Linked DNA regions of Sus scrofa. The protein of the gene in region 3 interacts with the protein of the main gene of each other region in a biochemical or structural test. Links are inferred from orthologs where the notes say so. Each region holds a gene or a part of one and is shown on either strand. Other genes may lie near its edges. The genes, in order: SH3GL2, SNX9 and DNM2.

What was found.
Region 1: the proteins of DNM2 (region 3) and SH3GL2 interact in a biophysical measurement, tested with the Homo sapiens proteins (2 studies listed by BioGRID and IntAct, with this or other methods). The link is inferred for Sus scrofa from reciprocal best matches to the Homo sapiens genes DNM2 and SH3GL2.
Region 2: the proteins of DNM2 (region 3) and SNX9 form a complex in vitro, tested with the Homo sapiens proteins (2 studies listed by BioGRID and IntAct, with this or other methods). The link is inferred for Sus scrofa from reciprocal best matches to the Homo sapiens genes DNM2 and SNX9.

Annotation. Positions count from the first base shown.
Region 1 is NC_010443.5:205,082,599-205,087,061, forward strand, and holds part of SH3GL2 (endophilin-A1), read right to left. Parts: intron 2,907-4,463; coding exon 2,776-2,906; intron 202-2,775; coding exon 2-201; 3' UTR 1-1. UniProt on the Homo sapiens protein: Implicated in synaptic vesicle endocytosis. May recruit other proteins to membranes with high curvature. Required for BDNF-dependent dendrite outgrowth.
Region 2 is NC_010443.5:9,164,806-9,169,952, forward strand, and holds part of SNX9 (sorting nexin-9), read right to left. Parts: intron 4,794-5,147; coding exon 4,628-4,793; intron 2,817-4,627; coding exon 2,666-2,816; intron 1-2,665. UniProt on the Homo sapiens protein: Involved in endocytosis and intracellular vesicle trafficking, both during interphase and at the end of mitosis. Required for efficient progress through mitosis and cytokinesis. Required for normal formation of the cleavage furrow at the end of mitosis.
Region 3 is NC_010444.4:69,471,687-69,477,416, reverse strand, and holds the start of DNM2 (dynamin-2), read right to left. Parts: upstream 3,406-5,730; 5' UTR 3,173-3,405; coding exon 3,012-3,172; intron 1-3,011. UniProt on the Homo sapiens protein: Catalyzes the hydrolysis of GTP and utilizes this energy to mediate vesicle scission at plasma membrane during endocytosis and filament remodeling at many actin structures during organization of the actin cytoskeleton.

The DNA.
Region 1 (4,463 bases), on a different chromosome or scaffold from region 3:
CCTAATGGGGCAGAGCAACCAGAATCTCCACATAATTGATGGGGAAGAAGCCTGACTGTCCGTGGAGCATCCCCTCATACCAGTTCTCATCAATCTGGTTGGTGAGTGTGATGATATCACCCTCTTTAAAACCCAACTCCCCTTCATTTTCAGGTTCAAAGTCATACAGAGCTCGGCAGCAGGGCTGATCCATTGGGGCACCTGAGGAACAGAGCAGGAGAGAACACAGAGAGACAGGGGAATTTAACTCACATATCTGCTGCATGCTGCGCCTGCCCAGCCTACTGTCCCCCTGGGTTCCTCCCTCACTCCTCTTCCTGCTGAAGCTTCCTCTTGCCACTGGTCCCCAGTATCTGTGGCATGGCACCTTGCCCTCTCCCCATCTTCAGAAGCTTTCTTACATCTCCGGAAGTTGTTGAATTCCTGTTTCTATTTCCAGTATGAAAACATGGCCACATCTATTCTCATGATAGGTAGGTACAACACATTTCAACAAGGCTGACCATCCTACAGTGCTCAGCAATAGGAGTCCCAATGACTTAAGGAGTCTTCATGGACTTTAGATTCATAATGGAGCATGGACAGAATTCTTTTCATGCTAACCTCTTTAAAATCTCTGCACGTGTGAAACAGTAAAGTATACAGACAGGGCTTTGGGACTTCAGAATAATGGTGCATTTCTTACTTTTAAAAAATAAAGATCCCCAGCCTCTGGAGAGCCACAGTAATGTGATGAAAACAAGACAATATAAAACACTGGGTTCGAGATGCTACTCTCCGTGACCCTTGCACATGGCACTTCACTCTCAGTTTTTCTAAAATTGGAACTAAAAGAACTTACTTCACAGTACTACCGTGGCTATTAAATGGGATTACATAAAAAATGATACAATTTCCACCTCCACATCACATTACCTATATAAATAAGAGGTATGTATCAGAGCTATGGAATATAAAAAATAATAGATTCTACATTGAATTAAATAATGAAGGATGGAATCCTATCTTAAAAGAGAACTGTGTTGGAGTTCCCATTGTGGCTCAGAGTTATCAAATCCAACTAGTTTTCATGAGGACGTGGGTTTGATCCCTGGCCTCACTCAGTGAGTTAAAGATCCAGCATTGCCATGAGCTGTGGCGTAGGTCTCGGACGCAGCTCAGATCCTGCATTGCTGTGGCTGTAGCGTAGGCTGGCAGCTACAGCTCCAATTCAACCCCTAGCCTGGGAACCTCCAGATGCCATGGGTGTGGCCCTAAAAAAGAGACAAAAAAAAAAAAAAAAAGAGAGAGAGAGAGAGAAAACTGTTAAATGAGCAAAAGTATTACCATAGCAGGCATACACACATGCGTATAAACTCAGGCAAGTGGAAACAGCTCCATGCCACCTGGATGGCTCTGAAGGGGGACAATGATTTTTTTTTTTTTTTTTTGGTCTTTTTGTCTTTTCTAGGGCTGTTCCCATGGCATATGGAGGTTCCCAGGCTAGGGGTCGAATCAGAGCCATAGCCACCGGCCTACACCAGAGCCACAGCAACACAGGATCCGAGCCGCATCTGCGACCTACACCACAACTCACGGCAACGCCGGATCCTTTAACCCACTGAGCAAGGCCAGGGACCGAACCCGCAACCTCCTGGTTCCTAGTCGGATTCATTAACCACTGAGCCACGACGGAAACTCTGATAATGATTTTTTTTAACTTAGAGAAAGCAAATTAACAAGTCTCCAAAAGAAAAATGAGATATGTGTTTGCTTTCTGAGCAGGGAGAAGCCAGGTTACATTATGTGCCTAGTCCTTATAACCAGCAAAAGCCCCACACGAGGGCTCTGAGCAGCAGAGGTAAGCCCGAGGAGCAGAGCCAATGGTCATCACACCCTCCCTTTTTGCCTTCATGGTCTCCTGAGAGCATCTCATAAAACATTTCCTTCTGTAGAACATCCAGCACTGGGGATACAGGGAAACAGGAGAGAGCTTCCCATCCTTAACATCCATATCCAGGATAAGGCAGTTCCCACTCTTCGACCAAGCAGATTCTTAAGGATGAATATACCTCAAGCACAGGCTTTTATCTGTTCTGTATGCAGGGGGTAGAAAGCAGTGGGACCAAGTAAAAGAATAATACAATCAGTTATACATCTACATCTCTGAAAGAAAATAATTTTCAGCTTTTAATGCACCTACCTGTTACCATAGCACAATGAACTGGTGGAGGGTGGGGAGGGGAAGAAAATCCAGCAGATAGTGGGATTCAAAATATATTCATCTGCAAATATATTCACCCTCATGTTCGTGGGCCTCAAGAAACCCAACGCAGCAGGTTTCTGGAGCTGCCATCTGTGGGGTATGTGTGAGTGTACAAGGGCATGCACTGCCTTGGGGCACTCACCCCCACGCATGCTGGAATCACAGAAAGGGACAGACAGGAAAGAAGATGACATCCCTACAACTCAACTGACATATTACAGTGATTTAAAGACCACAAAAGAGGGTCAGTATCAAATGTGTTAAAGCAGGTAAGTGTGCGCCGATGGAGACTGAGGGTAAAAGGGACGTACAATGAAGGCTTTACAGAGGAGAGAGAGAGTAAAGGAGGGAAAGAGAATGAATGAGACAAGAAGGAACTCCTTTAAGAGAGTTTCTACCTGACAAAACCATCCTGTAAGAAATATATTCCTGCATAATTCTTATGTAGCCAGATGGGATTGCTCCTAGAATTTCTGGAAGAGTGTTCATGGGGCGTGGCCAAGGCCATGTACCAGGGATCCGATACTTACCTGCAGGTTTGGGGGTGCCTGTGTGGGAGAGGCCCCCATTGGGCTGAGTGCTGTCCCCAGTTGGAAACTCCAGGCTCATTCGAGGTTTGGGCTGATACTCCCTTCGAGGCTGAGATGAAGCTTGTCTTATTCTGCATTAAAGAGAAAAGATGGGGAGTTCCTGTCGTGGCTTGTTGGAAACGAATCTGACATGAGGATGAAGGGTCAATCCCTAGCCCTACTTAGTGGGTTAAGGATCCGGCGTTGCTGTGAGCTGTGCTGTAGGTCAAGCACATGTCTCAGATCTGGCGTGGCTGTGTCTGTGACTGTGGCTGGCAGCTGTAGTTTGATTCAACCCCTAACCTGCAAACCTCCATATGCTGCAGGTGTGGCCTTTACAAAGACAGACAGACAGACAGACAGAGAAAGAAAGAAAGAAAGAAAGGAAGAAAGAAAGGAAGAAAGAAAGGAAGAAAGAAAGGAAGAAAGAAAGGAAGAAAGAAAGGAAGAAAGGAAGAAAGGAAGAAAGGAAGGAAGGAAGGAAGGAAGGAAGGAAGGAAGGAAGAAAGAAAGGAAGAAAGAAAGAAAGAAAGAAAGAAAGAAAGAAAGAAAGAAAGAAAGAAAGAAAGAAAGAAAGAAAGAAAGAAAGAAAAAGAAAAGGTAGGAGGTGGGAGGTGGGATGTGTAGTCAATTAAGAAGCAAAAAGAAAAGCAATTAAATCGAGAAAATGCTTTGACTAGCTACCAATCTACCACTGTGGAGCAGGTGAAATCTGAAAAGGACCCTCAGTTTTCTTATCTGTGTCTGTCTCCACTTGGGCGCTGGGGTCACGCTCTCTGCAGTTATACCCTCATTGCTTTCATCCTTCCTCTCAGGTTCTCCCTCATTAATTCCGAGCTCACTCTGCAAGTCTGCACTGCGCTAGGCACCAGGAACACAAAAGGTGAGTAAGACACAATTCTTACCCTCAAACAGCTTATGGTCTGGAGTGGAGACAGAACACAAACAACTGATTACCGTGAATTGTAATAAGTGCTGCCATGGAGATTTGTACCAAATGCTGCAGGAACACAGGGATGGAGCTGGCAGTGAGATGGGGAGGAGCTACCTGTCCCAGGGGAGGCTGGAGAAGGCTTAAGGACAGAGGTGAAAGATCATCAGAAGTCATTTCTAGATAAACAGTTGTTTCCAGAAGAAAGTTATTCCATGCAGAGCTTGAGAAGGTGTGGGGGGAGGAGAGGAGGAAATACTGTGTGTTCTGAGAACAGCACAGAGGGAAAGGAAAGAAGCCAAGGAAGAAGGAAGAAAGGTGGAAAGGTACAGGCAGGCAAAGTATTCTGCTCACCCCTGAGTACTTCCCACCCTTTTAGGTGGTCATTAAGCAAAGTGTAGGGCAGATCTGCAAGGGTGGGGAGAGTTTAGGGTATGGTGATTGAAGAGTAACAGTGACTCTAAACATTTTAGGGGAAAACAAGAAAAGTGGCCTCCATGCTTAACAACTGTCACAAAGACATATAAAATTTCTTTAGTACTTTGAAGGGCATGGTTTGAAGCCTTTTTAGAGGCTTTGGCATGTCACACACATATTTCCACAAGTGTGCACTGTGGGGAGGTGCACAATCAAAGCACTAGTCAAGGAAGATACCAAGAAGAGGAGGCTGGCCAGATAGAAACAGGTCAGGAAGTTGCTCCTCATACAGCATCATAAG
Region 2 (5,147 bases), on a different chromosome or scaffold from region 3:
AGTCATGGACCAGCTACAAAACTCAAGAACTTGGCTAGTCTCTTGTCTAGTCTCTGCTTCCTTATTTCAAAACTGGGCAGAGAGATACGTTATATTAAAGTGGGTTTCAAATGTCCTTTGTTTACAGGCTTAAACAACAACTGAAGGTAAGGTACACTCCAGGCCATACTGAGAACTTCCAATCGGACTCTAGAAATGATACAGTCAGTACACACACAGTATGATTTTATTATGCATGCAACTGAGCAGGAAAATACACAATGGAAGAAACTGGACGGACAGACAGGAGAAGTGTGAGCTAAAAGGTAACTCATTTAAGCACCAGATGCTATTTAACAAGCAGAACTTGTGGGGCTCATTAAACTTTAGACATGTACCTCAAGACATCGAGCAAACATGTTTACAATTTTTTTCTGGACAAAGATAACATTCTTTGATGTCTGCTTGGAATCACAAATTTGAAACACTGAGAAAAACTCCTTTTTTTTTGGTCTTTTTGCTATTTCTTAGGTCGCTCCCACGGCATATGGAGGTTCCCAGGCCAGGGGTCCAATTGGAGCCATAGCCACCGGCTATGCCAGAGCCACAGCAACGAGGGATCCGAGCCGTGTCTGCAACCTACACCACAGCTCACGGCAACGCCGGATCCTTAACCCACTGAGCAAGGGCAGGAACCGAACCCGCGACCTCATGGTTCCTAGTCGGATTCGTTAACCACTGCGCCATGACGGGAACTCCAGAAAAACTCTTTTTTTGGCCATAGCGTACAGTGGCCTGATGTGGGATCTCAGTTCCCAGACCAGGGACTGAAGCTGGGCCACGGTGGTTAAAGTGCAGAGTCCTAACCAAGACACCACCAGGGAACTTCCCTAGAAAAACTGCTTTTTTTTTCTTTTTTGTCTTCTGTCTTTTGAGGGCTGCACCCGCGGCCCGTGGAGGTTGCCAGGCTAGGGGTCAAATCGGAGCTGCAGCTGCCGGCCTACACCAGAGCCACAGCAACGTGGGATCTGAGCCGCGTCTGCGACCTGCACCACAGCTCACAGCTAGAAAACTTTTTATCTTTGTCTTTTTTTTTTTTTTTTTTTTTTTGTCTTTTGTCTTTTTGTCTTTTGTCGTTGTTGTTGTTGTTGTTGTTGCTATCTCTTGGGCCGCTTCCGCGGTATATGGAGGTTCCCAGGCTAGGGGTTGAATCGGAGCTGTAGCCACTGGCCTACGCCAGAGCCACAGCAACTCGGGATCCGAGCCGCGTCTGCAACCTACACCACAGCTCACGGCAATGCCGGATCATTAACCCACTGAGCAAGGGCAGGGACGGAACCCGAGACCTCATGGTTCCTAGTCGGATTCGTTAACCACTGCGCCACGACGGGAATTCCAGAAAACTTTTTAAATGTAAGAAGAGTATTTGAAGATAAATCGTCTGGAAGTCATAGACTCTATGTCCTTCAAGCTCCACTGGGTGTAAACTACAGACTCATCCAGAACTCTCTACCGGGGAACCCACAGGGCTGTGTCCACAGCCCTCCTCTTCCGCACGCTTTCCGCGAGGCAGCGTCTCTACGGCACCACTCAAAACAGGACAAACCTAAGGATAAGCCCAGTGAAAACAAAGTCTGAGGCACATGAGGCAGAGCAGCTGTGAGTGTGCGCTCAGGAGGTCAGGGGCTGGCCTGAGTCCCGAGGAAATCACTTCTACCCGTGTGAACCTGGGCAGTGACTTCCCTCTCTGGGCTTCGGCTGCTCCCAGAGTGAAACAGAGGGTCGCATGAGAATGTGCACAAACTGCTTTGCACAAAGCCTGGCACGGGGCACAAGACCAATGAATAGTGAAACATTTGTAAGAAAGTTAACATTATGTTTAGCTTTGCTGTACATCAGCAATGAGTTGATAAAACCAATATTCAGCATATCATTACATGGAACAAATATTTCACTTTAAGATGAAAAAAAAAAACCCAAAACTTTCAAACAAACCTCCAAGCAAAGAGCCACATAAACATGATCAAATCACACCCAAAACTTGGTAGACCACTGACAAGAGAAAAGTGCCTCTTCATATCATCATCTTATTTTTTTCTTTTCTTTTTATGGCTGTACCTGCGGCATATGGAAGTTCCTGGGCCAGGGGTTGAATTAGAGCTGCAGATGCAGCCTATGCCACAGCCACAGCAACGTCAGATCTAAGTCACATCTATGACCTACACCACAGCTTGTGGCAACACTGGACCCTTAACCCACTGTGTGAGGCCAGGGATCAAACCTGCATCCTCACGGACACGATGTCAGGTTCTTAGCCTGCTGAGCCACAATGGGATCTCCTTGTTGCATCTTACATCTGTCTCTTTCTTTCTTTTTTTTTTTCGGTCTTTTTGTTTTTTCAGGGCCGCACCTGAAGCATATGGAGGTTCCCAGCCTAGGGGTCGATTTGGAGCCATAGCCGCCGACCTACGCCACAGCCACAGCAACTCAGGATCCGAGCCGCGTCTCTGACCTACACCACAGCTCACGGCAACGCCGGATCCTTAACCCGCTGAGCAAGACCAGGGATCAAACCCGCAACCTCATGGTTCCTAGTCAGATTTGTTTCCACTGCGCCACGACAGGAACCCCATCTTATATCTGTTTCTACAGAGAGTTCATGTTCCCCCAGTGCCCTGAAACCTACTTGTTAAGCGGCAGCTTCATGGAGGAGGAGCCCGCCCGGCTGTTTCCCCGCTGGGCTCCTCCGGCTTCGGCCGACTCTCCGTCCTTGAAGTAGGGAGACGACGACTTGGGCTCATCCCAGTCTTCGTCCCAGTCGTCATCGTCCCCAGTGGCTGGCGGGAGGCAAAGAAGATCGTCAGCAAAGGAAAACAAGATAAAAACGGGATGACACTTTTCTGATAACAACCGTCAACCGGGTTAACCGTGTACGAAAACTCGGAGAAAAGGGGCGGGGGCAGGACCACACTAAAGACCTGACAAGTACACGCTCTGCGGTCAGTTTTGAGGCTGGAAGATTTTTTTAGAGCAAAAGACAAGCTGGAAACAACTTAAAGTGGGTTGCCAGTCCCAGTACCTTCAGGTAGATGCCAACTATTAACACGCTCAGTGGGCCAGGGAAGGGCTTCCAAAGGCTGGCATGCTGATAGGTCAGGCAGATCAAACACCCTTTAAACAGAGAAGACTGGAGGGGCCGAAGGGGACCCTAGGTCTCTGAAAAGCAGCTGTTCAACACTGATGATAACGCAGGTGAGAAGGGCGAGCTGGTGGAGGAGGGAGAGAGGAGAGGGACGGGCAGCAGCCAGCTGGCGCCAGGGGCCCAGCATTCCGGGAAGAGTCTGTGTCGGGCAAGGCGCTGCCAGCCTCGCTGCCCCCGCCCTTTCTCTTCCACTGCTCCGTGCCTCTGTCTCCCTGAGATGTCCCCTTAGCATCAGGCAGGAAACTGCCCTGGATTTCTGCCCAAAGAGTGCCATCGAGAGAAGCTGAGAGACGAATGGCGAAACAGAAAAGGAGGGGAAAGAAAGTATTAGAAGGATCTGAGCCAAGACGCCCGGGCCACGCCAAGCTACTCGAGGAGCAGGTGTCAGCAGTCTAGTCTCGCCGTTTCTGCTCCACCCACAGCTCCTGGGCCGGCCAGCAGCCAAGCTCCTGTCCACGACTGGGAGCTTGGAACCAGCACCTGGGCCCGTACGGCTCCTGCAGGCGAGTCCCCCGCCATTCAGCACATTCAATTCCTGGCACAATGTACTCATATGGGAATCATTAAAATTACTGGGTGGATCTCTCCTTGTTTTATTTAATCCCAGAACAGACATAAACAGCCTTTCCTAATTCCTCAAGTGTTTCTCCTTTTAGAAATTCTGCTTTTGCCTCAATTTCTGTTAAGAACCTGGGAGTCAGAGAGGTAAAGAAAAGACAGAAGAGCCAAGTGAGAGGTCATAAACTGGCCGCTGATGACCATATTCAATCTGTGTGCACATTTTTGGAGCCAAGATTTAAAAACAAGTGTGTTAGCTGCTAAGATTTTAAAGTGGGAAGATGACATAAAAATTGAGATTCCAGTCTCTGGAACTGTGGAGGCCCAGAAACACCAGCTCAGCTCTGCAATGGTGTCAATCCGCTCCAGAGCAGGGCTGCCCACCTCCATCTTCCGCATGGGGTGGCTCTGTGGCTTTGCTTTATGAACCTGGGCCCACAAGCGTTTCTATTTGTGACTCCATGACAGATAACTGAGAGTGGACTAAAGCTCATAACTGAAGACCACTGGGAATTCCCATTGTGGCTCAGCAGGTTAAGAGCCTGACCAGCATCCATGAGGATGCAGGTCTGATCCCCGGCCTCGCTCAGGGGGTTAAGGATCCAGCATTGCCATGAGCTGTGGTGGAGGTTACAGATGTGGCCTGAATCCCGATTTGCTGAGGCTTGGTGCAGGCCTGCAGCTCCAATTTGACCCCTATCCTGGGAACTTCCATATGCTACAGGTGTGGCCCTAAAAAGCAAAAAAGAAAAAAAGGCCAAAAGGCAAAAAAGAAAAGAATGCCTACATCTGGATCCAGACAAACAAGTCTGCTGTTAGTGAATGCGGGCCGCTGAGAACGGTTCCTGAGATGAAACCTGTCCACCGACGGCAGAGCCTCCTCCTCACCTGGGCCTTGGTAGGCCTGGGGATGACCGAAGGCAGCGTCCCAGTTGTTGGAAGTGTTTCTCTGAGCTGCAGCCCCCTCTGGCTTGGCTCCCCAGCCATCCGTGTTATCCCAGTTTCCAGACTTGGAGGGATTCCAGGCTGACCAGGGGTCATTGCCACTGCTGACCTGTGGTCAAGGGTAAAAAAGAAGAAAGGGTTTGTGACTTCTAGAAAGCATTACTCAATTCAGTAGGACTCACATAATAATTGAACAGGGATGCTGAAAAAATAGATAGAAATCTATAACAGTTTAAAATTTAAATAATACATTTTCAAAAGTAGGAAAGCAAAAAAGTAGCCATCAACCGAATTTTAGTGATGTTAAAAATGTGTCAAGTGGAGTTCTCATCGTGGCTCAGTGGTTAATGAATCCGACTAAAACCATGAGGTTGCAGGTTTGATCCCTGGCCTCGCTCAGCGGGTTAAGGATCCGGCGTTGCCGTCAGCTGTGGTGTAGGTTGCAGACTCGGCTCAGATCCTG
Region 3 (5,730 bases):
GTTCTTAGAAAAACCCACAAGGAGGAAGCAGGGAAATGGAGCAGCCAGATCTGCCCCCAGGCACAGAGCCAACATGCTCTCCCTTTTGTTCCTTGAAAACTGCCAGGAGAGCCTCTGTGTGGGTCCTTGGGGTAGAAGAGAGGAACCAGTCCCTGAGCCCCACAGCACAGTTCAGCCAAAGTCAGAGAAAGAAGCAGGCAGTGGGATTTAAAGCGAGTCCTGCCTGCCATCCCCCTTATGGCAGGGCTTTGGAGCTGAGAAGGCTTCTCCACACTCCAGAAATAAAAAGAAGTTGGCTCCGTTTGAGCACTCCACACCCAAAGAGAGGGCTTTTTACAGTTTTGGTCCTCGAGCCCTGAATTAATGCCTGGTTAATGCCAATGTCACGCTGCAGGCTCTGGAAGGAGGTTGCCACAGGAGCCAGCTCAGCAGCAGTTGGCAGTCACCAGTTGCCAGGGTGGGTGGGAGGGAAAGGTACAGCAGAGGGTTGGAGCGGGGGGTGGGAGAGAGAGACCTGGAGTCGCTCAATCCGTCACTGAATGCTCGGTTCTCTAAGCCTCAGTTTTCCCCTCTGGACAATGGGATCACAGCAGTGCCAGCCTCAGAATGTTCAAATGAAGTCCAGTGTGTAACTTATTAATTTTTTCTTTAAGGGCCGCACCTATGGCATATGGAGGTTTCCAGGCTATGAGTGGAGTCAGAGTTACAGCTGCTGGCCTACACCACAGCCACAGCAACACAGGATCCGAGTCGTGTCTGTGACCTACACCACAGCTCATGGCAACGCACCAGATCCTTAACCCAGTGAGTGAGGCCAGGGATCAAACCCACAATCTCATGGTTACTAGTCGGATTCGTTTCCGCTGCGCCACAACAGGAACTCCCCAGTGTCTAACTTTAGAGCACTTTCTTTTTTTTTTTTTTTCATTTTGGCTGCCCCGCAGCATATGGAGCTCCCAGGCCAGGGATTAGATCCGAGCTGCAGTGGAGACCTAAGCTGCAGCTGCAGCTATGCCAGAGCCTTTAACACACTGTGCCAGGTGGGGGATTGAACCCTTGTCCCATTGCTCCTAAGATGCCACCAATTCCACTGCGTCAGAGTGGGAGCTCCTAGAGCACTTTAATTCTAACTAGCTTTTGTTGTCAATATGAAAGGAATCAGCCTGGTGAATAATAACTCCATTCATACAGACCTACTGTGTGCCAGGCACCATGCTAAGTAAGCACTTTCAACACATCATGTAACTGCATCCTCGCAACTGTCTTGTTGAGGGTCCATCACCCCATTTTTAGGAGGGGCAGCTGAGGCTCAGAGAGGTAAAACAATCTGTGCAAGATCACAAGGCAAATGAAATGGACAGAGCTTTGCGGATGCCCACTGGAAGCCTGGGCAGGCCAGGCAGGAAGATGGCCAAGCAGGGGGCCCATAGCCCAGCCCAAGGCTCAGCCCAGGCCTGGTTGATCCCAAGTCCACGCCTTTCCGCCACAGTAGACAGAAGGCAGTTCGCCAGAGACAAAGCAGCAAAGGAGGAAATTCACGCTGCTGGGAGCAAAACCCCCAGGCCTCTGGGAAGGCAGGAGCAAAGCTGGGCTCCACTGAGCTCCTCCTGCCTGGTGGTCTTGGGTAAACAGGCTGTCTTCTGAGTGGAACAAGAAAGAACTTGGCTTGGGGCCTGTAGGATGAACGTTACCTCTTAACACTGATAACAACAATAATCACGATAATAATGACTATGATATTATCATTTGGCAGCCCCAGTCACAAATGGAGTCCTTCCTAGACAAATAGAGAAGTGGCCACCCATCTGGGAGGCAGAAGGGCAAGAAGTGGGGGAAGGGAGAGAGAAGAACCTAATTACATCCATTAGCTTCCTGAATCCTAGGAAACAGCCCACAGAATGGAATATGTCCACAGGACAGAGAGCCAAACTGAGACTTCTCAGAACTATCCAAAAAAGGCTGTATTCCAGATCTTGCCTGATCAGGTAAGAAGTTCCTTCCCAGGATCCAGGAAGGGCCCCCCACATTTGCAGGCTTTAGCTTGGGGGGCTGGCCCCTATGTTCTAGGGCCATGGAGGTACCCTGACATGGACCAGGAAAGAGTCCTGGAGAAAGATTCCCCCGAGGGTTCTACTTCCAATTGAGAGGAGTTCCAGTCTCACCCTTCAGCTCCCTTTCTCTCTGCATCCTCCACCACCCCCTGCCACAGTGGTGGGGTCAGACAGTCAGTCCGCTATGGCACAAACAGGCAGATTAGGAGAAGGTCAGATAGTAGGACAGACAGACAAAGGTTCCACTTGGAAAAGAGGAGCCAGCGTTCACCAGGCACTAAGCTTTAGAGTCAGCCCAGGAGAGCCAGGCAACAGGGTCCCCAAGGGTCAGCCAGCCAGTCAGACAGCAGAGGCCAGCTGGAGGTAACCCAAGAGAGGAAGAGATAAGTGTTAAAGTCTGTGAAGTGCACGGATGGGCAGCCGGACAGGACAGGTCATCCTAGATAGCTGGCCAGGCAGCAGGGGGCTGCTCTGCGGTACTGGACAGATGGACAGCCAAATGGTGGTGGTGGCAGAAGCCTATCCAGGACAGAGAGACAGCCAACGAGACGGCAGGAACTGCTCCAGATAAATGAACAGCCAGTCAGACCGCAGGGGTCGGCCCAATGGATATCTAAGTGACAGGTTTCGGACAGACAGGGAAGGGGAACCTGCCCCTGACACACAGGCAACCATATGGTAGAATTCACCCACTATAGCTGAGGACCAGAGAATCGGCAGAAATCCACCGCACCTTCTGGCCCTCGCCCATGAGATACCCCTTTAGCCTGGGCCGGCTCCCCACCTCCTGCAAGGAGCCCTCCGCCCAGGGCGTCCCACAGGGCCCGCCTCCCTGTCCCCGTCCCCGTCGCGGGCACGCAAGCGCCGCAGTTACGCCGGCGGCGCAGGGCGCGCCATTCCCGGTCCGCCCTCCGCGCCCTAGGCCGCCGCCCGCCCGCCGTCGCCGCCACGCTCGCTCACCGGCCCACGAAGTTCTCGAGCACTGAGCTCTTGCCGGCGCTCTGGCCGCCCACCACGGCAATCTGCGGCAGGTCCAGGTGGCAGCTCTGGCCGATGGAGCTGAAGGCATCCTGCAGCTTGTTGACCAGCGGGATCAGTTCTTCCATCCCGCGGTTGCCCATGGCGCCGGTGGCCCCGGCCCGAGCGCCCCGCGCTCCCCACCCGCCCCTGCCTTCAACGACGCGGCCCCGCGGCGTCCACGGCCGTTGCTCCCCGTCCGCCCGGGCCTCGGCGCGACGCCCGCTCCCGGCTCGGCCTCACGGTCGCCGCCTCATCCGGTTCTCAGGCGACACCCGACCCAAGCGACCTCCCGCCCGGGGCCCTGGGGCTGCGCCCAAAGCCCTCGCCCCACCCCCGGTTGGTCAGCCGCGCTGTCGCTCGTGCACCCAAGCCAGTGAAAGGGAGGCACGGACCTACAGCTGAATGAACCTTCCCCCCCGGGGACTTTCTCTCAGTCTCATTGGACGCGAGAACTGTCGCTATTGTAGAACAGCCAATAGCAGCGTGAAGCGAGTTGTTCAGGCCGGGAGGCGGTGTTTCGGAAAAAGGCATGTTAGCCCCGCCCATTGGGGGAGTTCCCGGATGGCAGGCCCATCCGCCAGTTTTATTGGCAGGGAGACCGGCCAGTCAACAAAATTGGCCAGTGATATTAAGGATCGATTCTTAAACACAGATCTGTCACTCGACTCTACCTAGTTCCCTAAAAATTTCCCATTGGTTTATATAAATATCACTCCGTTCCGTCAGCCAACAAATCAAGAGGGTGGGATTTAACCTCGAATCTTGACGCTAATTGGACGATGTATCTGTCCATCAAAGAATCACAAGCGCTTACTTGTGATTGTCGTAGGTCGGCTAGTCTTCTGAAGCAAAGAGTAGACCCAAAGTACTCGCCAACGTGCGCCACCTTGTGGACCCAGTGGTGATGGTCACGCCTGAGTTCCTCGGCTCTTAAAAAAAACTACAAGTCCCAGAATGCGTCTTGGCCGTGAGCTCACAAATCAGCTCCTTGCGCGGGGACCCAGTGCACTTTGAAGGTGAGAATCAGGCGATTAGTGGTTCCTAGGGAGAAGCAGGCTAGCTCGGCCTCGCTAGCTCCCACGCCTCCAGACCCTGGCGAATGCTGTGTCCTCCCGTAGGAATACCGTCTGATGACGCCTGTGTTGATGCAGCTGACGCTCCAACGTCGTTCCTCTGATTCTTCAACTTTAGCACATCTTGGATCTTTTTGAGTACTCAATGAAACTCAACGGAACTTCTCCCCAGAAAGTTCTCCCCTATTATTTTGCAGGCAACGCTGGGGATTCTGGGAACTGGGACTCTTGACCACTTGGAAGAGGCGGGGGAGTTCCGGCTGTGATACAGCGGGTTAAGGATCTGGCTTTGTCTCTGTGGCAGCGAGGGTTCGGTCCCTCAGCCGGCGCAGTGGGTTTAAATTCTGACGCTGTGGCAACTATGACGCTGTCGCTGGGATTCGATCCCTGGCCCGAGAATTTCCATGTGCTGACGGTGCAGCCAAAAAAAAAAGGAAGCCGGGAATAGATGGACTGACTTTAACAGAAGTGATCTGATTCCTCTGGACAAAGATAGGCCAGAGGCAGCCCAATAAGGAGCCAGGAGCAAAGGAGGTGGGGAAGTGGGCTGAGGGGGCAGGGCAGTAACAGGGGAAAGAAGAAAAAATGAGTAAGAGGATGGCAGAGTGGCCAAAGTTACAGGCCTGCTCCCTGACCCAAGACCCAGGTCTCAGAGACAGGCAAAAAGATGGCCCAAAATGATTGGCACTGCAGCCTTGACTATGATGGCAGAAACCTGGAAACATCCTAACTGCCCATCCATGGAGCTCATGAAATAAATACTATGTAGCAGCTATAAAAAAAGGATTGAGGAAGTTTTCATGTAGTGACATATAAACAATTTGAGCTACACTGAGAAAAGGAAGAAAAGCAAGGTACAGAACTGCATGTAAAGGATGGCAACATTCACGAAAATAATGTACAGGTGGAAAATTTCTGGAAGAATACACAAACTGATAAATGTAGTTGAATTCTTTATGATATTTAAATTGTAGATGCTATAAATGTGCTACTTTTTTTTACTTAAACCTTATCTTCAGAAGTTCCCTGATGGCCTAGTTGTTACGGACTCAGTATTGTCACTGCTGTGGCTTGGGTTACTGCTGCAACTTGAGTTAGATCTCTGGCCCAGGAAATTCCGCATGCTGTGGGTACAGCCAAAAAAAAAAAAAAAAAAAAAAAAAAAAAAAATTGCAATAAATAAATAAATAACCTTACCTTCTAAGAGCTCTGTAACTGGCCATATCTGGACTAGATCCTAGGTCTATTTATTTGCTGGGTAGTAATGACCAAGTGACTCAATTTTTCTGAACCTCAGTTTCCTCATCTGTAAAATGAATTAAATACACTTGACAACCACCGAGAACAGTGCCAGGCTCAGTCTAAGTGCCTGCTAGATCACACTTACTATCACTGCTGTGTTTACTGACAATGAGATGAAGCCACAGGTCTGAAGAGTCAAGGCAAAGAGCCTTCTCCCTTTCTGGACTTCCCCCTCTCTGGACCTGTTTCCTCACCTATAAAAAGGAAGAGAATAGGAGTTCCCTGGTAGCTCAGAGGGTTGAGGATCCAGCACTGTAACTCCAGTGGCTCTGATGACTGCTGTG